4 separate regions of the Mus musculus genome follow, and regions 1, 3 and 4 are each reported to be linked to region 2. Evidence: microRNA targets listed by miRTarBase, many of them from high-throughput screens and not tested one by one. Region 2 holds a microRNA gene; each other region holds the end of a gene's coding sequence.

Region 1 (7,120 bases), not on the chromosome of region 2:
AGTTTTATGAATCCTGCCTGCTCTGGGTTACAAGGAGCAAGATTCACTAGAAGTTCTAAAGCTAGTTAATAAAATCAAAGTCCAGATACACACATATATTTTTTTAATGGAGGAAACACTAGAATTCACAAACTATTGATCACAGACTGAGCAAAGCGGTTTCTGCTGGGGGAAGGAAAAACATTTGTTCTTTGATTTAGTCTATTTTGTATATACTACAACTGCATTTCCAAAGTGTGTGCATGACAGAAAAAAACAACCCAGACATGTATTTGCTCGTGTAATCTCCATGGAAGGCAATGCTCCTTGAAAAAGTCCTCTGAGTTTTACTTAAACTGCTCAACTCTTTACTCTTGCAACAGATAGGCACAATATTGCACAGTTACTAAACTGTCAGACAAATAACGTTCTGCTGGCTTTTCAAACTTGGAAAGCCTAAAGCACCACTTACATCAGCTTTAGACTTGCTTGTCTTGGCTACAAATAAAGCCCAAGCCTCTGGAGGCTGGAGTTCCACTGCACATGAGGACTGAGCCCAGCGCCACCCTATTCGCTGCAATGCATTTACCTTGCACACTGTGTACACAGCGCAGGGCATAGTTAAGAGCATCTAGGGTACTGGGCTTAGTGTGCCTCTCGGCTGGGAAATACTTTTTCATTTCTTGGACAACCATTATAAGCTCTTCAGACATTCTGTTTCGGTCTTCGTGTTCACTGAATAGGAAAAAAACAAACAAGAAACCGTAATGGTGGACACTCAAGGAATATCTGATTTTTAGGGATGTCTGGCCACCTCAACTAGCCCAGGTCACAGGTTTAATGCCCTTTCTCTTCCAGGTAGGGGACATTCTACACTTTCATTCTCCCTTCAGTCCCAACTCCGTCAAATTCTTTAACCACTTTCCTCTTTCTTTCCGTACTCTGGTAATTTAGTTTAGTAACATTCCCCCTCCCATCAATCCTCACCGAACTATTTGGAAGTTCCCTTTCAGGTCGCCTCCCCCCCCTACCGCGTCCCCGGGATCAAAAATACAATAAAAAGTTGTAAATCCTGCTTTCCCTGCTCCAGGGAAGGACAATAAACACAGAGGGTGGTGGGGAGACTTCCTAGCGTCACCTGTGGCTGCTGTCCACGCAAGTGCCCTGCAGAGGACCCTCCTGGCCAGACGCCCCCTGGAGCCCCGGTCCCCTAGTCTGGGGACAGTCGCCACCAGGTACTGCCGGGTCTCCACAGGGATCCATCCCGCCTGGCAGCCCTCAGCCTGCTTCTCTCAGTTTGCAGCTAGCAACCAAACCCGGCTTGTTTTGGTCCCTGCCATCGCCTTCGGGAAAGACTGGTCGCCGACCACGCTCATCTGAGGGGCACTTTTCTCCTCAGCATTTCCACAGACTCTGCTGGGGTGACGAGCTACAGCGACAGCTCGATGGCGGAAGCTGGCTGGACGGACCACCAGCGGGGCTCTCAGGGAGCGCGGTCAGCCTGCAACAACTTTTCCACCGTCCTTGCTGGGAAGCCGGCGAGCATCGAGAAACACCTCAGAGAGCAACGTCCGGCGTGACCGGGCAGAAGGCAGGGGCAGCAGCGCCCGGCCGTGCGGGCTCGCAGGCGTCCCGCCAGCCGAGCAACTCGCCGCCGCCCCGCAGAGCCTCGCCCACCCGCGGGCAGTCCAGTCTCGAGGCCGTCCGCGTGCCCAGTGGCCGCCGGCCCCGCCCCCTGCGCGCCAGGGATCCGGTCCCGCCCCTTCGCCGCGCGATTGGTCGCTGTTACCGGCAACACGAGCTCCCATTGGTCAGAGGGCGGGGTGCAGGTCGTGCACGGCGGGGGTTACATAACCGCGGGCGGGTGGGCGGGTGCAAAGGCCCCCGAGTACCTTACATAACGCGCGGGTCGGGCGAGGGCGGCTCTCGGCCAATCCTGGCCAAGTGGAGTGGCCTGGAAGACAACAGGGCCGGGCCGCGCAAGTCTACTGCCGGGCTTCCCGGAGGCGTGGCCTTGGGGCTGTCAGTCACGGGAGGGCGGGGTCCGCGCAGCCAACAGGTAAGTGGACCCGGTGGCGCTTGTGAGTCCGCAGGCCTCTGGGGCTCCCCGGTATCCCAGGAATGCAGTGCTTTGGGGTTCCCATTGTTTTCATCTTTCCAAAACTTGCTGCTTTCTCCCACCCGCCAATATAGGTGAGTGAACCCAGGTAGAATCCAACCGTATTTTCAGAAATACAAGTTTAATGGTACAAGGTAAGGTCCTTGGCTGCCCTCGAGTTACAGGTTCATTTGGCAACAGGAGTTAGATAGTATTGTAAGCGACGCTCTGTTTTCGAGGAAACAGCCAGGATGCTCCTTTTACATAACTGTCTCTACCCTTCAGAAACGAAAGGTACAGGGCAGAGCTCCAGCCTTCTGCTGCCTGGGTACATCAAGAACACACTCGGTAGTGGGTGGAGAGATGGCACAGCACTTGAGAGTTAAGCACCTACTGCTCTTCCTTTGGATGGTTCCCAGGCATCTTCTATCAGTGTCTCACAAAGTGCCTGTAATTCCAGTTATAGGAGATCCAATGCCCTCATCCATCAAGACACCTGCACAGTGAGCATACGCTATCCAGACATACACCACATAAATAATAAGATCTTTAAAAAAATACACTAAGTATTTGTTGGATGAATGAAAGTGTTCAGGCCAAAGGAGAAGGGGAAAATGCCAGAGAGCAAGTATCCACATTTCATATTGGGCAAATGACCGATTTTTAAAAAAAGTCTTTCTCCACACTGGATTACTCTACTCCTGAGTTCTTCAAGAAACATTCATTGTACGACCATTGGGTGCACATGTGGGCAGGGATTATTGTACTGAGGACAGAACCAAATTCTCTCATACTCAACATACAACACATGGATGATGCCTCAAAGTCAAGAAAGCCTAAGATGCTGGTAGGACATAAACTGGTAGGAATGGGAAGGACAGAGGAAGGAGGCAAGAGCCCCAGGGAACAGGCTGGAGGGTAAGGGAGGGCCGCTGAGAAGGGGAACTGAATCTGAGTGATCCTTTGGGGTGGGGGAAATGGGTGGGCTAACAGAACTGAAAAGCACTGTCCCTTTCAGGCCATCCTTGTGAAGTACAGGTTAGTCATTAAGAACCTGAAGCGAGGGCTAGAAAGACGGCTCAGTGCTTAAGAGCACTGACTGCTCTTCTGAAGGTCCCAAGTTCAAATCCCAGCAATCACATGGTGGCTCACAACAATCAATAATGAGATCTGATGCTCTTCTGGTGTGTCTGAAGACAGCTACAGTTACTTAGATATAATAATAATAAATAAATCTAAAAAAAAAAAAAGAACCTGAAGCAATGGGAGAAAGGAAGGGCCAGATTGTGATGGGGTTTGTGCTTAAGGAAAAGTATTTAGACTTTTATGTTGTAAACATAGACAAAATCCTACCCGGTCTATATTACATTGTTTGCAAGAGTGGGGGAATGAGGGGAAATATATTCAAAGGAAGGCAGATTAAAAAAAAAAAAAAGCCACACATTTGGGACATGCCTCCCCTAAGTTTACCTGTGTGGTTGGTAGCTGTGTGGTGTACCAGGGTCAACTCTACAAATCACTTCCAGAAGACACTATTTAAGAAACCCAATAGCCAAATCCTTACTGGTCTGGTAACTGCAAACCAGCTATGGACTCATCTCTGCTCTGAAAAGCACTTTTCATTAAGGTATATGATGGTTAATTCCAGTTGTCGACTCCATTGTATGTGGAATCAACTAAAAGGCAGCCTGCCAGGTATTCCTGATGGGTTTCCCTGCTCGGAGTATGTAAAGTGGGGAAGATAGGAGAAGGAAGCTCTGCTCTTTGCCTGCAAGCCTTCACTCACAGGCGAGTTAATCTACCCTGCTGTTGCTGCACTCTGATGTTATCAGAACTCAGTATGTTTTCATGGGCTTCCACATGGGCTTCCACATGGGCTTAACACCAGAGATTTTCCAGGAGTCCTCCAGGCCCACAGTACCAGATGGAAACTTCTGAGGAACTCAGCCTCATGGACTAAGCAGCTATCAGGTTCTCAGCATCTTCAGTGTGAGGTAGACCATACCACATAATAAAAATCTTTTAAAAATATATGTTCACCTTATTAGTTCTGTTGCTCTAGAGTCCCCTAACACAGGGTGAGATCTACATCTTCTCACAGGAATATGTGCTCCTAGGATAATGAATAAGAAAAAAACATAGTTTGTCAGGGAGGGAGGGGGAGCATCAAGGGTCAGAAGTTTAGGACATGCATCAGGTGTATTCCCAACTCCACTCCAAGAAACACGACACAGGATCATGTTAATAAACAACTTTATTCTGGTCACCATACCGGGAACATTCCCAGCTAAATGCACAGAGAAGCGAGGTATCACTGTGTTAATACAGGAGCCACTGAGTTACATGGGACAGAATATGAGGAGACAGCACCAAAGTTGTGAGGTCAGACCAGGACAGAAGCCCTAGGCTGATGCGGCAAGGCATATCTTCAACATCTGTATTGTTTCAGTAATGTTAGGGGAACAGATAAAAAACTAGAACCAGTTGGGCGTTGGTGGCACACGCCTTTAATCCCTGCACTTGGGAGGCAGAGGCAGGCGGATTTTTGAGTTCGAGCCAGCCTGGTCTACAAAGTGAGTTCCAGGACAGCAAGGGCTATACAGAGAAACCCTGTCTCAAAAAACAAAACAAAAACAAAAAACTAGAACCAGATTCTATGACATCTTGAGTAATGCTGCTTTACACACAAACACAGATTTCAGGACATTCTAGTGGCACTGCCATAGGCAAGCAGCTTTCCCTTCACCACTTCCTCAATTCCACCCATGCCTGAACTCCTGTCTTTGAACCAAGCCTTGATGAAAGTCTCATATAAACAATGAAACTGTCCCAGACAGCAATGGCTACATTCTAAGAGCACCAGGCATCTCTGGTTAGCTATCCTCTACGAGTGACCGGTGGCTTACCTCAAGCATAAGACAGAGATGAGTACAAGCAGTACACAGTCTTCTGGAACTCTGTGCAGACTGATGCCTTGGTGAGGCTGCACGGCTACTGCTCACATCGCACTAGAGACCACAGCCTAGCTCAGTCTACAAACTGCTGGCTAAGTATCTTGTCTACAGGTGTGATCTGAGCCCACCTCCATAGCTCTAAAGAAGAAACCAAATCAGAATGACTAGCCTTCTCTATAGCATTTCACAGGATGGACTGCCGACATGTTGAAGGCTCGCTCTCACAGTATTAACATTTTTCTTAAAGGACACCTTGAGTTACATTTGGCACTTATTTGAATGTATCTATTGGGGCAATTTATTTGTACTTAACTTTTGGCAAAATAGAAACTTTGGTCATAGTTCTATAAAAACTTCTTAAAGGGTTATTTCTGGTTAAAATACTATTTTAGGAGTGATATACAACAAGAACAAGAAAGTAAACATAGTCATATCTAACATAAGAGCATGAGCTCTTCACCAGCATCTTAAATACAGCGGGAGTCAGTAGTGCTTACAAACGGAGAATAATCTTAAAGAACAGTTTCCTAGCTATCAAAATAAGGCACACCCTGCTATTGTCACCCATTGCTGTTAGGCAGTAGTGTTCTTCTTGGAAGGTCCAAGTTAGGAATCTAATTACCCAAAAGTTTAAAATGTGGTTTTGAAGATGATGTCAGATGTGGGGACAGCTGCCTTGAACAAAACCCCCTTCCTGGAATCCACAACAAGTCATCTTGAGTGACAACATCCACCTCCATTCAGCACTCAGAACTACACAAGTCCTCTTTCCCAGTCCAGAAATCTGTAAAGGCACTGTGCAAAATGTGGGGAGGGTAGGTCACACCTCCAGTTTGGAGTGTATATGAAAAACAAAGGCACATTTTCTAGGCACTAAACTGTATGTAAACTAACAAAAATAATCATTTGGAAAAAAAACAATAGGTAAGCTCGATAACACGGCAGGTTCTAAGTAGAAAGTCTTGAAGAAGATCCTGAATATCGGGCTTCAGTTTCATCGGTTCTTCATTAAGAGACACACCACACTAAGAGGCAGGGAAGATTTAGAAACAATGAAAAGGGCATGTTAGTCTTTGTGTGTGCAAATACTCAGTAGGGATGGACTTCTACTGTCTAAAGAGGGACAGAGAGAAACTGACTTGGCCAGTTTTCCACTGGCAGCTTCTTTACATGCTACAGGGCTCTGGGGAAGACTAAACTCAAAAGTGGAAAAGGAAATACTAACAAGAACTAGCAAAGGAAGGCATGCTTTGCTAGGATGTTCGCATAGACTGGAATGAAAATAAAGTGAGTTCTTCTAATATGCAGTCACAAGAGTGGTGGGAGTAGCTATGTGCTAGCTATATACATTATTTACATAATTACTATTTCTGTTCTCCTATGCCAGGTACTTTCTTATGTAATAACCAGGTTTGTCCTAACAACACAAGGTGGACACCATTACCATCTTCATTTTATTCATGAGGACACTTGAGGTCCAGACAGACCCAACTGCTTGCCCAAAGTCACAGAGCCTTACTACAGGTGGCATAGCTGGGATGGATCAACTCAGCTAATCACTACATTCCACAAAAGGACACAGACTAAAACTGCACAGGAGAGAAAAATTGACCAGACATTAGGAGTGAGATTTGCTATTCTTAAAGGATAAGTGCACCCATCTATCCATCATCCATCTAACAAAACACCAGACTTTAATTACAAAAACTCAAATATTTAGGATCATTTTGGTGGCACAGGCCTATAATCCTAGCGCTTGAAATGTTAAGGCGGAAAGATCACAAGTTCAAGGCCAGCCTGGGTTGAACATCGAGACCCTGCCTCGAGACCCTGCCTCAAACTTCCCGCAATACCATCATCTCAAAACACCCTCAAGTATTTAAAATACTTGATAAAGAACGATATTTAAACCTTGGACTGAATCCACTCTTTGCTGCTGCACAGACGAACGTCTATGACCATGGGTAACTCACCGATGATGATGATGACAATGATCACCAGGACACTGATCCCTATCGCCCACATCTGCAACAAGACAGATCCATTTAACATTGCAAAACAGACAGTGCTCGCCGCAACCGCTACAGTG
Region 2 (7,120 bases):
TGCGTATACTGAGAGCCCTGCAAAAGGACATAGGGCAAGGGCTTGAAAAACGTGGGTCACAGAAACAGCTGAGGGGCTGGAAAGATGCTCAGTGGTTAAGAACACTGGCTGTACTGATCCAGTTTTCAATTCTCAACATCTACAAACATCCGTGACCCCAGTTCTAGGGCGATCCAGCATCCTCTTCTTGCCTTGGAGGGCATTACTATATGGTGCATAGACATATGCAGGCAAAACACACCCGCAGAGACAGACATCTTTGAAACCAGATGTGAAATTGGTTTCCAGTAAGTCTGGTGTGTGTAGCAGACTGAAGAATAGAAATGGCAGTTTTTAAACAAAGGAGACTTCTCAAGTGGACAAAACATGAACTCAGACCAAAGGAGCTCTCCTACACAGTTTAGCTGGGTAGGGAGGGTGCTATATGATATAAAGAGGGGAAGTTCAGCACTTGGGAGGCTGAAGCAGGAGAATTGTCATCAGTTCCACGGAAGCCTGGGCAACACTTTCTAAAAAAAAAAAAGGAGAGATCCATGGAGATATCTCTGGATAAAGGTCTTTGCCACCAAACCTGACATTTGATTTCCATCTCCTGAACCCACAGGGTTAAAGGAGTGAACAGGCTCTCTCATAATTTGTCCTCTGACTTACAAATATATAACCACAGACACAAAATAAATAATTAAAACAAAGGAGAGGAGGGGGAGGAGGACGGGGAGGAGGAGGAGGAGGAGGAGGAGGAGGAGGAGGAGGAGGAGGAGGAGACTTTGGTATCACTGTGATGTCTGCATTTAATAAACCCCAGCTCTTTTCTGTGGTTTTGCCTGGCCACATTCTAGCATCCCCAGTGTCCCAGCTGAGTTTCCTAGCACAGCACACATCCTTATACCAATCCACACAGGCTGCCTCCCTCTCTTCACCCTTAGGCACATGGACTTCACAAAGGGCACCTGCTGCCCTGCTGAGTACCGTACACATACACAGTCAGTGTGCATCTAAAGAAGACATGAACCCTTAGCAGCCTAACCTCCTAGCCTCTATTCCTCCTTTTCCTAAAGCCTTCTACTCTCTTTTGAAGAGCCTGTGATCCAATGTGCTCATGGGAAACAATAATATAAAACTACTGTGGTTAGCAACTGAGACTCTAAGTGTTCCTGGGAATATGTGGTGTGTGTGTGTGTGTGTGTGTGTGTGTGTGTGTGTGTGTGTGTGTGTGTTTAGGGGGACTCTAGGATGCCCAAGAACTTGCTGTGTAGACAAGGATGACTTTGAATTCTTGATCCTTCGTCCTCTACTTTGCAACTGCTCAGATTATAGGCCTGTGCTATGATAGAGGGCTGTGTAGCCCTGGCTGTCCTGGAATTTACAGTGAAGACACTATACAGGAAACATTAAAGATGGTAATGATAAGGAAGCTTATTTTATTGATGCCCCTCCTCTGCCCATGCAAATTCCCAATAACAGAGAGGCTTCCCTTCTTTCTACTTTCCCAGTTGGCTCCCTTGGGGTGGGGAGTGTCACTTTCTCCAAGACAGAGTAAATGGAAGGAGCTTTGAGTGTCAAGCCAGTGAGTAATGTCAGCTGCTCACTTGTGCCTGTGTAACATGGGATCACATGGCATCTCTCAAGCAGCGGAAAAAGAAAACAGGCTGTGGCCAGACCATTAGTTCCAGCCTAGACCCAGCCTCTTTTCTCCTTGACTTAAGCTTCATCCCCACCACCCCTACCAAAACAAAACAAATTCCAAGCTTCTGGAATTTAAGAGGCCACTCGACTCTCCCTCCCCTAACTGCTAAAGAAGACACACACAGGCAATAGATTCCCTGAAGTCCCAGAATTTGAATTTGGATTCTCTAATATTTCCCCCCATGTAATACAAAATTGAATCATTATCTTCTAACTGTAAAATCAGGTCCCGGGAGGAAATTTTAAATTTATAAGAACCAGCGGAGTCTGGGTGATGACATTTTGCCCAGTTTTCTGCCTCTTATTAGTCGGTACAGCCCAGGTCTCCAAGTGCCAGCTGGTCAAGTTCGGCTGAGGGCCATGAGAGCAGAGGGGATTCCTAGCTCTGGCCATGTTTGTTAGACCATCTTCTCAGCTGTAGAAACCCTCTTTCACTAAAATATTTAGGTCAGGCAAGATAAATAGATTCTTTTTACAGGAGCCCAAATTAATCTCTCTAATTCTTTGCGTTCTCTGGGCAGCACAGCTACACATTCCTTTGTGTTTGAGCTCCACAGAGCTCCTTGAGGCCATTTGTTCCTTTGGGACACGATTTCCAAGAGTGAGGTTAGGACCGAAAGGTGGGATGCTCTAAAGCCCCCCACCCCAACTCTACACCTTTAGCCACTAATGACAAAGCAGCCAGAGAGAGTTCAGTTAGACTTAGCTCTGGTCCTGAAGGCCAAAGTGAAAGCAAAGAACCTGCGCCCCAGGGTCCCAGAATTCCTGTGGGGTAAAAAGGTCTCTGGCCACTCTGGCCCTTGCCCTTGTGGTTACTTTGTTTCTGCATCGCCATTCTCCCTAATAAGTTCGATGTGTGTGTTGGTTTTTAAGCCTTCCCCGCTCCTAGACCTGTTCCCACCTGGGCAATCTTGACTCCCAGTAAAGCTGAAGGGCTTCAGGGAAACCACCAAAGCAAAAACCAGCTTTCTAGAGACATCCTACGAACCTCGAACTCCACCAGTCGCTTCGAAGAGCCAGAGGGAAGCTGCTCACACCAGCCACCCGCTCCCGGGATGCGTCGAGACCGGGAGAGGGATGCTTGCACTTTCCCCCCAACCCTTCAGCCAAGGGCTCTGTCTCTCCCGGGAGCGGCTTCTCCGGACTGAGGCCCAGACTGCTCCATTTTGACCAGGCCTCCAGAGGCGACCCCAGAGCGGCTTCTTGCTTTCTTCCCAGGTGAGCAGGTTGCGGGTGGGGATCGCGAGGTGGCTCGGGCTGAGCAACCTTTGAAGGCGACGAGTCCCCCTCCCCCCAGCCCTCCAGCCTCCAGGCACGCCTGGCACGGCTCTCCCTCCTGCAGCTCGGCCACTACCAGCGTTCCAGGCCCTCTGCGCAGTGTATGGGGTTATTTTTACTTTCGGTTATCTAGCTTTATGAAGACTCCACACCACTCATACAGCTAGATAACCAAAGATAACAACCAACCCCGCCTCCTGGCCGCCTCCTCCTCTTCCACGCAGCCTCCCGGCCACCGCCTGGACCTCCGTAGTCTCGAGTCGCTCGACGGCGGATGGGGGACGCGCGTGGTGTGGAGGCGAAAAGATGGGATCCAGGACCTCACGCACTATCACGACGAGACCTCAGAAAGGCGAGGAAAAGATGCTACCGCCGACGGTTCTGAGGTCGGGAATCTAGGCTGAAACCAAGCGGCCCCAAGCCTGACCGCCCATTTCCCACTCCCTCCTCCGTGCAGAAGCAGGGTTCCGCCGGTGCTAGTGGAAAGGCTCCAGGGCCTTCGTGCCATCCGGGAAGACCGCAGAAGCCTAGGCCGAGGCCTCCCCAACCTCCCACGGTGTCCACACCCTTCTCTGGAAGGTCGAGTGTGAGCTCCGCGGGGTGCGGCAGAGCCGAGCTCGCAGAGCTGCTCCGAGCTACCGACTGCAGGGGAGCGGCCGCGAAGCCCCGGACGGGAACCCCAGCACTGGGGAACCCCGAGGCCCAGAGGGAAGCCTGTGGCTGGCGGCGGGGTGGAGGGTGATCTAGAGACTCCCCAGCGACTCTCCCAAGGGCAAAGACCCCACCCAGAGAGAATCGGGCGAGCAGTCAGGACGTGGGGCTGCGGGTTAGGGCAAAGGGTGACCAGGCAGGTGCTCCGAGCCCTGGACCTACGGAACCGCGCGGGAGCCGGTTTTGTGCAAAACGCAGCCGAAATCATTCAGAGATGTGAAATATGCCACTGGGGGTCTGAGTGAGAGATGCCCTTAGTGGCTGGAGGGGGCTATCTGGACTGAACCCACTGGAAGGAGGTCCAGGGACCGTGCAGAGGGTGTAGAGCTCCGTGGTCGCAGGTGGCGGACGCGCGCGCTGGACTCTGAGGCGCTTTCCCCACCTCGTGCCCCACGCGGGTCAGGCCACTTACATCAAACCCAGGATGCCCAGTGGTAGTGTCCTGCGCGGTCTTCAGGCGCGTTCCTACCCAGGCAGCGCCACGGACGTGGGTCAAGGATGCCGGGGCTTGCCAGGTAATGGGGCCGAGCGAGAGCCAGCAGGGTGGAGCAGGGTCTCGAGTCCCAGCTCTCTCCTCAGCCTTGGCCGCTGCTCTGGCGGGGGCGCTCTCAGGCTCCGGACTTTTCATTCATCCCTTCACACTCCTTCCTCAGGTCAGCCCCTGATTGGCTATACCTGGTCTGACGTCACTGTCTCGTTTCTTCCCCCCCTCCCCCCCAGCCTTTCCATGCCCGACCCCCTCCCTCCCCAGGCCAGTCCAAGACGTGCAATTGGGGTGCCCCTCCCCCAGAGAATGGGATCCAATGTCTTTATGCCAATCCTTAGTCTTTTGCTGCCTCATCTACAACCCGCCTGCCACGTCTATAATCCATTGCCAATTGCGGTTCTGATGGCCACCTTCGCTCTTCTTGTCGATCTTACATTTTCCTTTTGGGCTCTACGGTACATTGCACCAAGACCAGCACGCAAAAATAGAAAATAAATAGGGCAAAATTCCCTCAAAGAGAAGAGATCTGTAATCTCAGCACCAGGAGGTTGAGGCAGGGATGCGGACTGGAGACTCTATCTCTGACCCCCTCCCACCTCACCCCACCGTTAGAGTCTTTTTGAGTTCTAATTCCTCCCAAACTGTGATCCTAATATTTAGGAGAGGCAAGGGTCTCTTTTGTTCAAGGTTTTCAACTCAAACCCTCACTGAAGGGAAGACTGTGCAGTTTGAGTCTCCTGCTATGAGACAATGGGCGAGCAAAGGGGGCCCTCTTTTCTGCATTTCAGGGGAATGTTCCTTGACCCTATCTGCAGATAACCACAGAATCCTAGCTGCTTTTGAGACTCAGAATTTGGCCAAGTCCTGGAGACCTTTAATAGGTCTTTCCCTCTACCCATGTTCCTCCAGGCTCCCAGGCATGCAGTGCCAGCTCTGGGTTCGGTTCCCCAAGGAAGATGCCTTTCAGGCAAAGCTCTGTCCCCGTCCTCAACTTCCTCCACCTGGCTCTCAATCCAGTCCAGCCAGAAAGGTCCTTTTCTCCACCAAAGAAGCAGAAGCAGAAAAGCACCGGGGAGTAGCCAGTTGCTGTTGGGCAACATCTGGGTTCTAGGTACATCGAAATTCTCAGAGCAACCATGGGCCCCAGGAGCTGCTCTGTGTGCCAGTGAGCGGTCCCTTCATCCTCCTACTTATCCTCTGCTGGGTCCCTTCTATAAAACTGGCTGAGATGCCTAAATCCTGCTGGTCAGATTAAACCAGCCAGTTCCTGTAACCAGGGACCCCTAAACACGGAGTCACCAGCAGTCCATTTAGGGGACTATCACTTTAACCATTGGGTCTGTCTATCTGCTAGTCCCATGAATAGCCCAAAACAAAGCCAGACCTGTGGACTGCTTATCTTGCTTAGATGGAAGGTGGTGGCTAATAGGTTTAACTTAGTGCTTCTCACCCAAAACGGAGTATGTCTGAATGTTCATTGCTATTAATGCTGGCTGCATGGCTGTGGGTGGGGCCAGCTTGAGATGAGATAAAACCCACAAGATGTTTCCCTACCAGAAGGATGATAGCAAGCAAATAGCCTTATCTCTCCATGTCTTGGGGCATTCTCAGGACCAGGTTTAGCCAGAATTTATTTATTTATTTACTTATTTATTTATTTATCTGTCTATTTATTTATTTATTTTGAATCTCCCTCTCTTTTCTTTTTTTCTTTTCTTTCTTTTATTTTCTTTTCAAACCTCTATGTTGTTTTTTTCTCTCTATGTTGTTTTAATGCTCTTTTCTGAGAGAGGCTTGTTAATTAATTTAAGTACTGAGGGTTAAGCCCAGGGCCTCTTATAGGCCAGGCAAGCCCCACTACCCCAGACCTCTTTTACTGCCCCTAAGCCCTACCTCTTTCACTTTTTATTCTGTGACAGTCTCGCTAAGCTGCTCAGGCTAGCCTTGAACTTATTTTAGCACAGACCAGCTTTGAAATTTTGATCTTCTTGCCTCCAGCCTCCCAAGTGCTGAGATTACAAGCCTGTATGCACCACCAAAACCAGCTGGGGGAGAGGTGTTCTAGAAGCTTTGGCAGCTTGGATGATTTGCCAGAACTAAGCCATGTCCAATGGTGGGGCAGAGAAAAGGGCACACCCTAAACTGTCTCCTTCACTCCCCTACAGCTCAGAATGGTGTGCCCAGAGGGCTTGGGAGCTCCTGGAGCTCCAGTACACCTGCAGAAAAAGGGGTTTCTTCCCCCCAAATGTTCTCTAGGCAACTTTCCCTCTGGGCATGGTGCTAAATACAATTCCTAGATCAACCCTGGTAAAGCCCTTGACTACATTTCTCCACCATGCCTACAAGCCTGTGACCCGTTCTCTGCATGCTCCCTCATGCCCTTCATGCCACCTTGTGCCCTTTCAAGGATGCCTGACATACATGTGACATGCACACTAAACTCCTCCCCACATGCTGACCTAGCTTCCTAAGAGCATTGGTTTGCTCTTCCCACAAAACTGCTTTCAAACCCCTGAAGTACCTTTGTCCTCTCCTCCCTTCCCAACACCAAAAAGTTTGGAGGTCAGAGCCAGCCTTGGAAAAGAGAGCCCTAGCTGCTAGTAAGATGTTTCCCTTCCGTCTCACCAAGTTTTACCATTCCCAGCCCTCTACAGGAACCCCCTGCCCTGGAGTCCTGCAAGCCTTGAGGTAGGAGGCAGCTGAGCCAGTCAAACTTTTCCTCTCAGGCACTGCTGTATTTTTGTTGGGAAGGAGAGAATACACAAAGATTTCCTTGTCCGATGTACACTCCCACCCCATATTCCTAATGGCCAAATTCAGGCTCAACTGGACTTTCTCAAAAATTAACCTTAAGGAAGAAATGAACACACTTTGCTGGGTGCTAAAAAATTGTTCCCCACACAGCAGATACAGAATAAAGTCCTGCCACCTTTTATATTGAATTTGAGCTTTTTAGGG
Region 3 (7,120 bases), not on the chromosome of region 2:
GGCTCAACAAGTTCTTGAGAAGAACTTGTATAATGACCTTGAAGATTTCAGGCACTTTCCTAAACTGTCAACGGCAATGCACATCTTTAACCCAGCACTTGGGAGGCAGAGGCGATAGATACAGCACAGCCATCTTAATCATTAAACAGAACTATCTGTGGTACATTTGCTTTCCCTCTATCTAGTATTCTAGGAGATGAAGTTATGGGAATCTGGTCCAGACATGCTGAGAAGGCGGATGTCACCTGTGCCTGTGTGTCTCACTCAGGAATCAGCCTTGTGACAGGAGATGACTTTGGCATGGTTAAATTATATGACTTTCCATGCCCAGAAAAATTTGTAAGTCTGTGTAGCATTTTGTATTACTTTAGTTGAATCTTAGATGAGTCACCCTCCCCCCCGCCCCCCCCCTCCCACATATTTTAGAACGTTGCAGTTCTAACATGAAAATCCTGGAATTTTTATTTCTAAGAGTTTCCTCAAACTTTCAATAGCCAAAGTAACATTTCCTAGAAACAGACCTTTCATGCTAGGTGCGGTGGTGTCCACCTTTGATTCCAGCACAGCAGATGTGAGGCAGAGGGGCAGAGGCAGGCAGATAGATTTCTAAATTCAAGGATAGCCTATGTTTTGTCTCAAAAAAACCCAAACCATCCCCATAGTCTTTGGAAACTCGTAGGAAAGTTCTGATGAGCTTTTATGAATCAAATCTACAATGATTAATAGCAGATTCCAGCCCCTCCCCGTTCTTCAGAGAAAAAAATATGACTGCCTAAATGACCTAGTTTGTTGTACGCAGACCTGTAAACTTTTACAAGAATCCCTGCTCTAATGATGAATTGTGCTTTGTTACTGGAACCTTTGTGTAGATCACTGCTGAGGGGGCTTTGTTTCCATTTCAGGCAAAGCACAAGAGGTTCTTGGGTCATTCCCCTCATGTGACAAATATTCGATTTACCAGTGGTGATCGGCATGTTGTCAGTGCTGGAGGCGATGACTGCAGGTCAGTGCTTGGTCGGCCCAGGAAGAGCATGATTACCTTTCACTAGGAAGACTTGGTAACTAGATAGATGTGGCAATGAACACAGCCAGAATTTATCAGAAGATAACTAGTAACTTCAAAGCCATTAACCTCATAAAAACACACCAAAACGAGTTATTGTAGCTGGCAAACTCTTCTGAAAATCTAGAATGTGATAAAGCTCCTTGTCACTTTTTTCTGATTGCAGTTTGTTTGTCTGGAAATGTGTACACATGCCTCACTGAAAGGTATGATGCTGAGAAGACTAAACAAATCTCACCTCAAGAGACCAGTTCCACGTTGGAAAAACCAAAACCAAACTGCATGGTCAAGTGGTGCTAACTGAGGACTGTGACGGGGAGGGATGTGCAGAATCATCCACACTGCAGCACACAGACAGACAGACGGTTTAAAATGCCTGCTGTATGTACCGACCTATCGTCCACACACTGCCAGATAATTACATTGCAAGAAATGACTGAGTATTGGGTAAAAGCCAACCTCCTCCTCTTATTGAGGAGTGTGGAATTTTGGCAGACTTGCCCAGGAGATTTTTAGGGTATAGCAGTCTGAAAAACAAAACAAACCAACTTCATCTCATTTCTAACGTTTCTCCTTAAGGTTTGTTCGATGAAATATTTCACCCTTATACAAGGAAAGGAATGGCCAACCATCACCCGAATCTGTTTTCAAAAATGCAAAGATTTTTCGTAAGGGAACTTACATTAATAAAGTACCCTCTGCAAAGGCCATGTTACAGCCTGAACTAAGGATAGATCCAGAGTCAGCAGTACATGGCTACTATATTTTCATTTTGAGCTGTGTTTAGAAGCCATCTCTATAAAATTATGAATCACAATTATGGCCTCATTAATAGGAAAATAATACAGTGAACTTCATTTCCAAGTTTTCTTAAGGTTCTGTGATAGCCAGAGCACTTAACTGAAAGATAATACTGCATATTTAAAGGTATGATCTAACTAATAAACATTTGTTTATTGTGTAAACACAAGCATTAAATTCATATACTAATAAACCTGGGCATAAAGTTTTATAGTTTTGTATTGAGAAAAATAATTTAATTAATTAGATGTATGCCACCCTATAAGGCTATTTTCCAAAATGACTGACTCCAGGTTCATCTGAAGAGCTCAGAGTCCTTCCACTCAATGCTGCCAAAGACTGGGACTTCCTGTCTAAGACTTTGCTGTTTTAGCCTCACTAAAGTTTCCTCAAGATGAAAAGTCCAGTAGACTGCTGCATAAAAATTTATTTTTCTACGTGTGAAGACACTGAGGATGCTCTACTGGTTGTTTCCACTTTTATTTCACTGTGTGAGTTATTGTTGTAGCAGTAGACTCCAACCCCTCAGGCTTCTGGAACCCTGTTTGGTTTGATATGTTTTCTATGGCTAAAAATATTGTGACTATTAAAACCAGAAATGAACACATCGCATCAAGGAAGTTTTGTCTAAGCAGTGCTTGGAGCATGGTCAGTTTTAAAGCTGATGAGGAGATTGCAAGAAACTTAAAGCTTAAGATAACGTTTCTAATGCTCATACTGAATGGTCCATCTAAACTGGTATTACATAAAATGGTAGTCAATATATTAAAGAATTCCTATAAAAAGGAAAATACTTCAAATTTAAGCATGATATATATAGTTCTAAGGTTTTCCCCTCTGGACAATTTGCTGGCTTTTAGTTACAGAATATTTTTAATTCTGTAAATTCTGTAATGTTAAGCAAGTAAACCATAAAGTAAAAACTGCTTCTACTATTTTTGTCCTTCAGAGTGGCCAGCCTGGTAAGTCAAGTCTTTGTCACTGCACTGGTCAGTTCTGTGACTAAAGACCAGGGATCAGGCTAACTCTTGAGTAGTCATCATATGGCCACCAACTGTGAAAAAGGTAATGAATCAGAGAACCTGCCCTTTAGTTTTTAAACCCAGAAAACTACAGTGTGTGCCTGCAGTATATGAATTAATAGCCCAAGACTGCCACCAGCTACTGTGGTCCCACTTGTTTCCTACGTAAATGCATGCCAAAGCACACAGTCCACTCCAGTGCTCTCCATTACCAGCCATCATGCCTACTTCTTCTCTGGGTGACTCCTTAGGGTGTTTCATTTAAAACAAGTAGTCAGTAATTGCTTTAGGTTTAGAGTAAGCTTGTCTATAACTTGTAGAATTAAACAATAAACCATTTAAATGTAGGGCTAGGACACACACATACAGCTCAGTGCTTATCTTGCATTTGTAAAGCCCTGGATTTAACCTCTAGCACTACATAGAAATGAGGCATGCCTACAATCCCAAGTGCAAGCACAGAATCAGAAATCCAAAATCATTCTTAGCTACATAGTGAATTTGAGGCCAGCCTGCAGTACATGAAAAAAAAAAAAAACCCAAACGTTTTAAAATGTGTTTCTAGTCACCGTTCAGTAACAGAAAACAATTAGATTGTCACATGTCATTTCCTTATAAAAAGCTAAACCATCTAAGCCCTTGTTCCCGGTTTCTGGTCCTTTACTAGACAATTATGAGAAGACAGACATCTACACGTATTTTTTTACAAAGTGGTAATGGCCTAGTTCCAAAGCTGAACCCTTAAATTCAGTGTCCTCACTGTATGAAGAATTGCCATTTCACCTGAACCTGTGCAGCAGACAGCGTTAGGCCCTGGTCTCCTTTGTTCTCTTGCTGTTTCTGATCTTTACCCTCTGGGGTTAGCATGGTCAAGGCCAATTTATCAAATGGCTGAATAACTAGCTAATTCTGTTATCTTTCAATGGAAAGGCAATGACCACAGTAGAAGGCTGGCTTCACATTATTAAACACAGACTTTTATAGATGTGACTTTATTGTATCTTAACAGTTAAATTTGGTCCTCAAAATGTTTGAGCTTTTATTATCCCCTTTGCTAACCACCGTTTACACTTTAATTTTTAAAACAACACGTTTTTGAAATCAGTTGTCTGTTATTTAGTTCTAAAACATGACACATCTTGCCTTAACAGTTTCAAAAACCACACATAAAACTCCATAGTACAGTAGGCCAAGTTTCATCCTATTGTCAAGTTTACCTTCCTATCTCTGCAATATAGTTCTGTCATTTAAAATATACCACTTAAATCTCAACTTCTACATTTCAAGAATGATCTTTAGTAATAACATAAGTATATTTTCTGTGGGGTTATTTCTGATGATATTTTTCAGAATATGGGAATATATACGTATATTTATATTCTTGTGAGTTCAAAGTCTGTTTTCTGATACTTTCTGTACATATGCCTGTAAAAATTTTTGTATACTTTTGTGATAATGTAGTCCCTCCAAAATTACTTATAAAATGATAAGCTAATAGTAAATGGGAGCATTCCAAAGAACTGTCCATATATTTTTACATCGTCATTCCAACTATGCTTACCCTTTATGACCATGTCTCTGCTCACTTTCAGAAAGGCACAGGACCTCGGTCCACTCTACCAAAGTAGCACTCAAAATAAAGTCTGCATTATGCTTCTCAGAGCAAATTCATTTAGACACTAAAAAAAGAAATTTAAACTAGTTGTTCCAAAGCTGCCTCAGTTTCAAAGCCTGGCCACTGTTACCACGCTGGGTTACAGACACTGCATTACCTTTGGGAAAAGCTGAAAAGTGCTTCAGCTCTGAGGACACTGGCCTTCCCACAGCACTACAGCCCTAAGCTGCAAGTACCATTACCAAAAATGATATTAAACAGCAATGTACAAACATGCCGCAAATGTTTTAATAGAATTTGGCTTTTCTTTAAACTGTCTTTTTCATAGTCAAAACGAACAAACAAAAAATGTTGAAACCACTTAATAAACTTACAAACTTGAAAAATTAGACACTTCAGTGGGGCAGTAAAATTCGTATTATGAAAGCAATATATTCTAAATTTCAAAGACGTGACAAGTTCTGTAGAACATCTCTCATCAGAAGATGGAAGCTTTCAAACTGCATGATCTTCTGCCAGGTAGGACTAGGGCATCACTCACTGGATAAAACCAAAATTTTTACGTTAACTGCTTTGCATATAAATACCATATACATTAGCTAAAAAGTTTTGTCTTTAAATAATTCAATTATGCAGTTTAACTTCTAGGCCACAGTAAAATATTGTGAAACTTCAGTCTAAGGAAACTGATGTGGAATTCCTTTTGTTTTTTTATGTATGTGTGAGCACACATGTGGCACCCAGAGGTCAACCTCAAATGTCACACTACCTACACCCTTTCAAATTCAGGGACTCTCAATGGCCTGGAACCCATCAAGTAGGCTGGACTGCCTTCCCAGCTCTACATACTAAGATGTCCCACATTTTTACATGGATTCTGGGAATCAAATTTCAGATTGTCAAGCTTGTGAGGTAATAAGCACTTTAGAGACCAAGCAGTCTCCCCCCCATCCCTGCTTTGAGACTGCTGATCAGTGTGTATAATACATCCACACAGACCAGTCTGCTGGCCTTGGTGTTGCATCTTTACTGTGTATGCTCACAAGTTTTAGAAAGGCTGAAGGGTGGAGCTCACTGGGTACCTATTATGCATTAGGCTCTGGATTCAATAATTAGCGCCACAAAAAAAAAAAAAAAAAAAGAACCCATCTGGAGATGATGTAGACTAAAAAAAAAGTCATCACTGGATAAATTTGGTTCATGTAGTAAATCATTTTTGCTAAGGAATTCTTTTAAAATTAATTTTAAAGGAACAGGGGAAGAAATAAAACTCATTGTCCCTCAGTTTGTGTGCCTATACAACTGAAGAACACAGACAGTAAGATGTAATTCTAAATGGCGTCAGCGTTTAAAGAACGAACTTAAACCCTCACCTGCTCTGAGGTCGAATCCATTTCAAGGCGTGTCTTGGTGGCACAGTAATGGTGGGGTGATAAAATGTGCAGTCAGGTCTCGTACACTGAGTGTTAAACCTACAGTGCTGAACAGAAACGAGAGGAGCAAACCTTAAAATCTTCAAGCTAATACAGGAACTGCGCACCTCACTCTAACGCTAACACTCCACAGTAACACCACTGAAAGCCTTAGAAAATACACACAAAACCAGACATACACGGAATTTAAAATAAAACGTACACAAAAATGAAACCCAAACTTCAGAATGAGAGATTACCACTAAAACCATTTTTTAGAAAATAAAACTTCTTACTTTTGGGTGGTAGAAGGGACATTCCATTTTCTTACAAGCAGGGAAGTAACGGCAGAGCTGGCCATTAGAAGACGGTGCTGGTGACGACACTGACAATCAGAGTGAACAATGCTCAAATCTATTTTGGCAACAACATCTTTTAATGCAGTTACTGGTAAGGTTAGTATCATTTAATTTAGAACAAGTTTTATCAGTCAAGATAAAATATAGCAGAGTTCTGTAAGAAAGGCAGATTTGTTCTTTAAATACTAAAATCATTTCTAAAACTATTCTTTTGTTGTTTCCTATCACTTAGAGCCAGAAAATGTCGTTTTCTTCTTTTTGACCTGACTATAACTGCACAAAGTTACTAACCTGGTTTTGGAGTCAGTATCGAGGCTCTTCTACTCATGTGAGTGAAGGGACAATCTGCTTTAGTACACTTTGTGTCATATTTACAATTTGGATGCACAAACAAACATTTCTCAGCAAATTTACAGTTGGGAAAGGCTCTATAAAACAAAAACAATTATTATTTATATTTAACATCTCAATGACTTAGGGTTTTTTGGGGGGGGTGGGGGGGTTCTTTTTAGAGGGACTTCACAAACACCATGCCCGGCTGGAAAGATAGCTCAGGTTTTTCAAGCGCCTGCTGCTCTTCTAAAGGACCTGAGTTCAGGTCCCAGTACCAACACTGGGTAGCTGGAGGCCTGGACCTCCAGCTTCAGGGGATTCAATGCCCTCTTCTGGCCCCTGGAGGCACCTGCACACATGTGATATCTAGTCTGCCTGTCTCACATACACAGTAATAATGGACTAGGAACACTGTTCCATGGAGTACTTCCCTGATAAACATGAAGCTCTGGCTTCAATACTCTGTGGTGGGGGTGAGGAGTAGGGCGGGGCAACTAGTACTTTGTTAAATGATA
Region 4 (7,120 bases), not on the chromosome of region 2:
AGACACTTTCCCAGACGAAATTCCTCGGCCTAAGATGACTATACAACCATCATTTAATAATGCTCATGTATCTAAATTCAGCGACCAAAATAGCACAGAACTGATGAACAGTGTCATGGTCAGAACAGAGGAAGAAATTGCCGACACTGACCTTAAGCAGGAAGAACCGCCGTCTGACTTAGCCAGTGCTTATGTTACTGAGGTAAGCTCTGAGGAAGACTGCAGCTGGTGTTGCCGTGGGCTTCAGGAGGGCTTTAAAGGAGAGATGCTGTAGGACAGTGGTTCTCAACCTTCCCAACACCAAAACCCTTTAATGCATTTCTCAGCTTATGGTGATGACCAGCCATAAAACTATACGTTTGCTACTGTTAGGAATTGGAATATAAATATCTGATATGCAACCCCAAAGGGGTTGAAGAACAGTTGCTCTAGTACCTTCTTCTTTTCTTTTTACTCACAGAGTTTCAATTCAAAAATTATAAATTAATGTGTTCTTGTTGCTGACAGAAATGAGCAGGCAGAGACACCTGGGCATAGTTCCTTGCTGAAGTGTCCCCTTTTCACAGGCAACAAATTGTTGCCATCAACTCCTGGATCACCTTTGGGTGGTATGGGTAATAGTAGATTTTAGAAATTACATATATCCCACAGTGCAACATAATTCTTTTCTCTAAGGTCTAAACCTTTATGTTCTAATTTTCAGATGGAATATATTTGAGAGCTAAGTACTAACAAACATGGACACTTGGGATGTAAATCAGTTTCTCCTTTTTTTTTTAAAATATCATGTAGGATTTAGAGTCTCCCACCATAGTGCACCAAGTTCATCAGACAATTGATGATGAAACAATACTTATCGTTCCTTCACCTCATGGCTTTATCCAGGCATCTGATGTTATAGATACTGAATCTGTCTTGCCTTTGACAACACTAACAGGTACTCTACTGAGACTTAATCATGAGCCTGATACATAGTAAGGGGATGGGGGGAATCGGGCTGTTGTTTTATGCATCCATGCTAACTTTTCTCTTGATCTATCAGTGTTCTTTTATTGGGTAAATCCTACACTTTGGTAAACTATTGGACTGAATGGAGAATCAGAAACACACATTTAATACTAACTTTATTTAAACTTGACTCATTACAGATCCAATATTCCAGCATCATCAGGAAGCATCAAATATAATTGGATCATCTTTGGGCAGTCCTGTTTCTGAAGACTCAAAGGATGTTGAGGACTTAGTAAACTGTCACTAGATTATTAGAAACAGGTACTTCAAGAAGCCACATTGTGACTACATTGTCTCCAAAGAAAGGAGCCATCCCAGGAGTTGTGGTTTGCCATTCCTCTGGCTTGTACTTAGCTGCCATGCTTAAGCCATGCACATTGTTGCTGCTGTTACTTTTACCTCCTTCTCAGTAGATCATCTGAGGTCCAATTTTATAACAGTTGTTATGATGGAGGATAGGAAGTGTGAATTGCCCAGACTTGTTAGGTTTTATGTCAAGAGGGAGTTGCAGTCACTGCAGCTACTTATATCACCAGAGCTTAACTACTCTGGTTTAAATATAAGTAGTAATACTCATCTCTGCAGTTAGACACAGCTCTGTCCAGACTCAAGCTGGGCTGGTTGTAATTCAGCTTATGTTAGCAGTGACTTTCAGAAAGATTAACTTAGGAGTTGATGACATGACCATGACCAGCATCCAGATACCACATTATGGGGGGTGGTTGTGCTGGTTAACCCATTGCTGGCAGTGGGAGCTGACTGAGGCAGGGTAAAGAAGCAAAGCATTACAGAGTTAAGAAAATTCACTACAGGTCTTTGATTTTTAACTTTTAAAGGGAACGTGGTTAAAGTGGTAACAAAACAGTTATCAACTCTCATCAGAAACCAGTCATTAGTTTACAGCTAGCACTTTGAAGTGAAATTAAATGAGGGGAGAGGTCATATTGCCTGTGTCTGATAACCATGACTTTTTTTATGACATGTTTTACATATAAATTGCCCAGAAGATAGTGAGGGGTATTAATTAGAGTATGCTGTTCACTTCGTGCATTACCTGCTGGGGGTACACTATAGCTTCTCCCTCAGGCACTTTTAAAAAACAAAATTTGCTTCTGTATCAAAAGAAAACAAATCAAGAGTCATTCCTAAGGTAAAGCCAAAACTAGCCTGTAGGGCTTTAATGATATGATCCTTATAGAAAAGTCCAAAAAAAGGAGGAAAAAAAAAGGAAACTTGTATAAATTATTTTATTTATTATTGTAATTAGATCTTCACAATCAAAGCTGTCTTTTCACCATCTGTTTATTAATGTAAAACTGTAGTAATAAGCAAAAGTTGGTTGCCTAGGGGAACAATAATTGTATATTCAGTTTAACAGAAATAAAAGAGTATTTGTCTTAAAATGCAAGATTTTGAGCCATGCAATTAAATTGTTAAAAAAAAAAAAAACAAAAACAAAAAAAAAAAATTCTTTCAAAAGTGAGAATTCCTTGCTATTTGAGGGCTGGAATGTGTGGGCGTTTTAAAGGAGAGCAGAGATCTATGCTGCAGCCCCCTCGCAGGGGGGATTGAGATTTACAGTTAACATGGAAACATCATGTACCACACGTCTGTCGATGAGTCTTCAGCATACTTTTTTGCAGCAGTTAAATTCACATAGATTTCCAAGAGTCCTGGTAAGTATTTCGTCTCTGCAGCCTCACCTTCCCACATCATGGAAGTACAAGTTTGCACATATACATAACATGATGATAGAAAATAAGATATAGTAAATTAGATTTCTAAATTTCGGTTCTAAGTCTCCTTGTCGATACCAGTAGATCTAAAAGAAGAATCAAATACAAATTTAAGTATGACCAGCTGTTACAGTGTAAAATACAACTAATGCTTCTTTCATATGGATAGCATTAGAGATTACTGTCCTGAGATAGTCTTCAGTTTAATCCCCTATGATTCAAGTAGCGCTAATAAGCGTTTCCCTATGTACTCCTGGTTTTGTTATTTACTGGGTTCTAATGTCAAAGTAGTATACTAATCAAGTTAGATGAGAATATATATCTGGATACATTTTTAGTATATTTGAGTTACTAGAAGGGAAGGCACTCAGATTAGGTCTGTTAAGAGGGCTTACGTAAGTAAATACATAGTTTAACTATCTCAACCTTGGTCACTCAGGGCTGTAGAACACACGAGATGAGAAAACTTCAAAGATTCAACCTAGGACTAGTTCTGCTCAAATGTTATGCTTAAAACCTATGTAGGATTGCAACAATTTAGGAATTTTTTTTAAAGAAAAAAAAAACTTGCTTTTTAAAAAATGGTAGGTATTAGAGGTCAAACCTATGGCCCGAGCATATTAGATCACCTCTCCCACTGAACCACAGTGCCACACCAAGGTTTGACTGTTTCCTAAGGTGAAAGCAGACCCAGCAGTTAGCCTAAAAAACAGAGAACCAATCACCATCCTCTGGGGTGGGGGCTGGTTTTGGTACACAAAGGGGTCTCTTTGTTTCCTGACAAATGTGATGTTAATTGTCGATATTCTGGGAAGATCACAAATCAAAGTGGACCCATGTGTAATTATTAGAAGTAAATTGGGGGGGGGTTAGATTAAAGGAGAGATACCCTATTCTATAGACCCAGGGGCTAGCAATCTGTCTAAGCACTACCATGTAAGCGCTTACAAACATTTTAATTCTAAATAGTACTCACAAGTATGCAGGCAGTAATACTACTCAAAGAGATGCAGACAGCAAAAAATATATTCAGTGGTTTGGGAGGTAGTTGAGGGAACACAAAAGCACTGATCAGTGTGACCTGTGTGGAGAGAAACATGTAAGGCCTTGAGTGGGATTCCAAGGTGTGGCTAGACAGGGGCAAGGCAAGGTAGTACTTCTTACATCACAACGTCACCTTCAAGTCAGTTAGCACTTCTGACTAGTCCAGCAAGTGTGAAAGAAGGCCAGACAAGCAACCAACATTAGCAGTGAGTTGCTGTGCTTATCTCAGTATTCTAAATATTCCTACCAGGTAACCAGTGTTCTCTTCAGCAGAACATGCACTGAGACTGGGGCAATGAAGACTTAGGATGGCCCAGCCCAAGGAGGACATGCGAACTCACGAAGCATTCCACTTTATCAAAACTAGCCCAACATGCTACGGCAGCTATTTGTTTTCAGCATTGCCAAGATGCTATGGAAATTAAAAGGGCAAAATTAGAAGGAAAACAGTAACTGAGTATGTGCAAAGCCGGCTTGGCTTAGTTTTATGGAACATGGGTTTCTGAATCCCATTTTGTTTCTAAAGACAAAAAATAAACTAAACAAAGGACAAACTAAGATTTGTTCTCTTGACAAACTTAATCCGTATTTATCAGACTTTAGAAACTAGCTTTTTAGTCTGATAGACCTATATAGAATGTGTATCTAATGTGCTATACAGAATTTTAAAATATCCTATAAGTCTTTTAAAACTTGTTTAGGCATTAAAAGCAAGTTTAAGGCATTAAGAGAAATGGGAGCGGTGGTGACCACTGGTAGAGGACTTGGTTATCACGGTATCACTTGTACAGGTGTACTACTGTGCAGGCAACAATGGCAAGTGCGGTTGACTGATTCACTCTGCCATGACTGTAATAGTCTACACATGTTTGTACCCTCTTTTAAAGTCTTGGGGAGAATTGACACTAAAAGTTCTCAAAACTGGCCAACAGAGCAAATGTGGCAAAACAAACAAAGGTACTTACTAGAATCAACAAGGTGGTTAAGCTGCCAACAACTAAATTGATGATTCGGTCCTGAAAGAGACAACAGTTTGTAAGCCAGATGTCTTGGACTGGGCTGCTGCCAGAATGGAAGATGGAATCTTACAGAATGAAGAGACCAAGAGTTGGCCCTTGACGTCTTCCAAATAAAAAAGCTGTGGTGCTAGGAATGTGGGAATGGCTCTGGAAAGAGAGGGCAACTGAGGAGCGCGTGTGCTATTGGGGATTGCTAGTCCTAACATGGGGAGTAGTGGGGTTGATGCTCAGACCGAGAAATAGGAATGGATGGAAGCGACACAGGAAGTGGCCCTGTCTACCTAAAAATACTTGGTGCTGTTAGAAAGGACCAGAGTGCCATGCTGGAGGGAGACGAAGGCATGTAGTCCAGTGTGTAGTGTAGTCCAGTGGTTTTCTTCTCCAACTTAGTAAAACTTTAGTAATATAAACAAAGAATTATTTGACTGAAGAGTTTTCTTAGGATTTTCATCCCTAATCCAGCCAATTCTTTAAACATACCTAAAGTAGGGGTAACCTAAATTTTACATGTTAAGGTAAACGTGGGCCCAGTGTGTTTTAAAGTACCTTACAAAAATTACAACAAACTCTGAAACCAAGCTTAACAATGTTACAAAGTAATAAGGTTGGCAAGTTATTTATAAGATTACAGAACAGGGGCAAGAGTCGTTGCTCAGTAGTACAGCACTTGCCTGGCCTGCGCAGGACCTAGGTTTGATTTCTCATCACACCCATCCTCAGAGGGGGAAAAATTATATACAACAAGGTTGGGATTTAAGACTTGACTAGGAAACTACTTCAGGGTCACCAAGAATAACTTATTTATGAGAAGCCAAAGCTGAAATCATATTTATGGAGCAGGGGCTGCTGGTCTTCCAGCCACAGCCTTGCACGTGATGCTAGGCAGACTCCATACCACCTTGGCCCTTGAAAGGTTGTTTTAGTATCTACAGAAAGAGGGTATGGAAACAGCAACACACTAAAACTTTTCTTTCAAGTTCTCTATACTTTTGAAAAACACAAGGTGGCAGGCAAAGCTGGGTGTATAGTAGGCTTTGGGTGTGGTGTGCCTGATCTATGCAAGAGCATACCCCAACTTCACTAAGAACTCAACAGGTCGCAACAACACAACCCACCAAAAGTTAAAAGAGACCTGAGAGCAACTTACTACTCGCTTAACTTCCTCCCACACATGCCTACTGTATATGTGTTTATCAGAGTGCAGAAGGATAAAACCTGTACCAGTCTGTGAAACCGTCAACTGAGAATATATGCTCTCAAGAGATTGGAGAAATTTACTATGGGTCTTTGTATCCTAACAGCTCTGTCACTAACAGAGGTATACAAGGTAAATCACAGTTTCCAAATGTCACAGCAGCTTGTCCACCAAAATCAAGAGTAAAGAGGAGAGGGGAAAAAAAAATCAAAACTGACGGAGAGGCAACTGACCAGACATGCTTTCTAAAACTAGGGACGAGGGGGTGGGGAGATGGCTTGCTTAGTAAAGTGCCTTCCACACAAGCCAGGGGACCTGAGTTTGGGCCAGTCCCCAGCATTCACTTAAAAACCTGGACGTGAGGCCTGGAGAGTTGGGCCCAGGTTTGGTTTCCAAGCACGGTCTCAAGCAGCTCACACTTGTAACTCTAGCTCCAGAGGATCTGACACTCTCTCCTGGCCTCTGGTCATACACAGCATACACACACGGTTGTGTTGTGTTTTGTGAAAGCTAGACATAGCAGTGTGCATCGGAGTCCTCCCCTAGAGTTAGATGAGGTGTGGTCTGTAGAGCTCAGTGTCCAGCCAGAGGAGCCGAATGAGAGAACTTATCTCAAAAAATAGATGGAGAATGTTAAGGAAAATGATTGAACATCAACCCCTGACATACATATGTATGTACATATGGATGAAATTGCAGTATGATCTGCACATGGAAAAAGGCTCAGGAAAATCAAAGTGCCTAAGGTCTAAGTAAAAGAAACAAGATTGCCAGGCCTACTCCCCCCATAAAAAGCTGCACATTCCTTGCTAGACAGCATATCCTCAAAGCCACTCCTGCTGTCAGTTGACAGATGGCACCTCACAAAGCCTATTAGCATGCCCTGTTAGCCTATTACGGTAGCATAACTGTTGTGATCATGTAATGAAAGCACACCTAAATAGTCTCCTGCCTGGCTTCTAGATAGTCACTCGACAGTTTCCTTAATCAACAGCTACTCTGCTAAAGTGCAGCAGCTCTCTCCGTTCCTGAGGTAGATGTGGCCGAAATGCTTAGCAGGGTTTGCTTCCTCACAGCCAGTGCCCGGCCCTCAGGTCTCCTGCTTTTGAGTACCG

Evidence for each region. The annotated mature microRNA mmu-miR-9-5p reads UCUUUGGUUAUCUAGCUGUAUGA and lies in region 2 at 3,120-3,142, opposite strand. An mRNA with a match to its seed (bases 2 to 7 or 8) in the 3' UTR can be bound and repressed. Matches are read on the target gene's strand: a 7mer-m8 pairs with bases 2 to 8, a 7mer-A1 pairs with bases 2 to 7 and ends in A, and an 8mer does both.
Region 1: the mRNA of Vamp3 is a reported target of mmu-miR-9-5p. Seed matches in the 3' UTR shown: 7mer-m8 at 5,362-5,368.
Region 3: the mRNA of Eml5 is a reported target of mmu-miR-9-5p. Seed matches in the 3' UTR shown: 7mer-A1 at 2,197-2,203, 7mer-A1 at 4,399-4,405 and 7mer-m8 at 4,505-4,511.
Region 4: miRTarBase lists Dmtf1 as a target of mmu-miR-9-5p. Seed matches in the 3' UTR shown: 7mer-A1 at 1,308-1,314.

Annotation. Positions count from the first base shown.
Region 1 is chr4:151,042,991-151,050,110 of GRCm38, forward strand. It overlaps Vamp3 (vesicle-associated membrane protein 3), which reads right to left. Exons shown (of 5, transcript NM_009498.4): 4 at 7,005-7,056; 5 at 4,315-6,056. The coding sequence ends at 6,040. Per3 (period circadian clock 3) reads right to left here and starts at 1,675. Exons shown (of 21, transcript NM_011067.3): 1 at 1,118-1,675; 2 at 569-714. The coding sequence starts at 1,242. Gm38529 reads left to right here and starts at 1,863. Exons shown (of 2, transcript XM_017320565.2): 1 at 1,863-2,038.
Region 2 is chr3:88,211,635-88,218,754 of GRCm38, reverse strand. It overlaps Mir9-1 (microRNA 9-1), which reads right to left and starts at 3,157; the gene lies at 3,069-3,157. All of the region lies in intron 2 of Gm3764 (predicted gene 3764), which reads right to left. It overlaps Mir3093 (microRNA 3093), which reads right to left and starts at 3,584; the gene lies at 3,498-3,584. Gm25641 (predicted gene, 25641) reads left to right here and starts at 3,085; the gene lies at 3,085-3,142.
Region 3 is chr12:98,784,496-98,791,615 of GRCm38, reverse strand. Eml5 (echinoderm microtubule associated protein like 5) reads left to right here. Exons shown (of 44, transcript NM_001081191.1): 42 at 186-339; 43 at 903-1,003; 44 at 1,230-5,012. The coding sequence ends at 1,266. Zc3h14 (zinc finger CCCH type containing 14) reads right to left here. Exons shown (of 17, transcript NM_029334.2): 14 at 6,564-6,700; 15 at 6,210-6,298; 16 at 5,875-5,981; 17 at 3,842-5,041. The coding sequence ends at 5,035. Among named protein-coding and RNA genes, the nearest start is that of Gm35463, 14 kb to the left of the region's middle.
Region 4 is chr5:9,114,167-9,121,286 of GRCm38, reverse strand. Dmtf1 (cyclin D binding myb-like transcription factor 1) reads left to right here. Exons shown (of 18, transcript NM_011806.3): 16 at 1-202; 17 at 793-937; 18 at 1,149-2,419. The coding sequence ends at 1,258. Tmem243 (transmembrane protein 243, mitochondrial) reads right to left here. Exons shown (of 5, transcript NM_001081029.1): 3 at 4,757-4,807; 4 at 3,724-3,828; 5 at 2,304-2,833. The coding sequence ends at 2,711. Among named protein-coding and RNA genes, the nearest start is that of Tmem243, 17 kb to the right of the region's middle.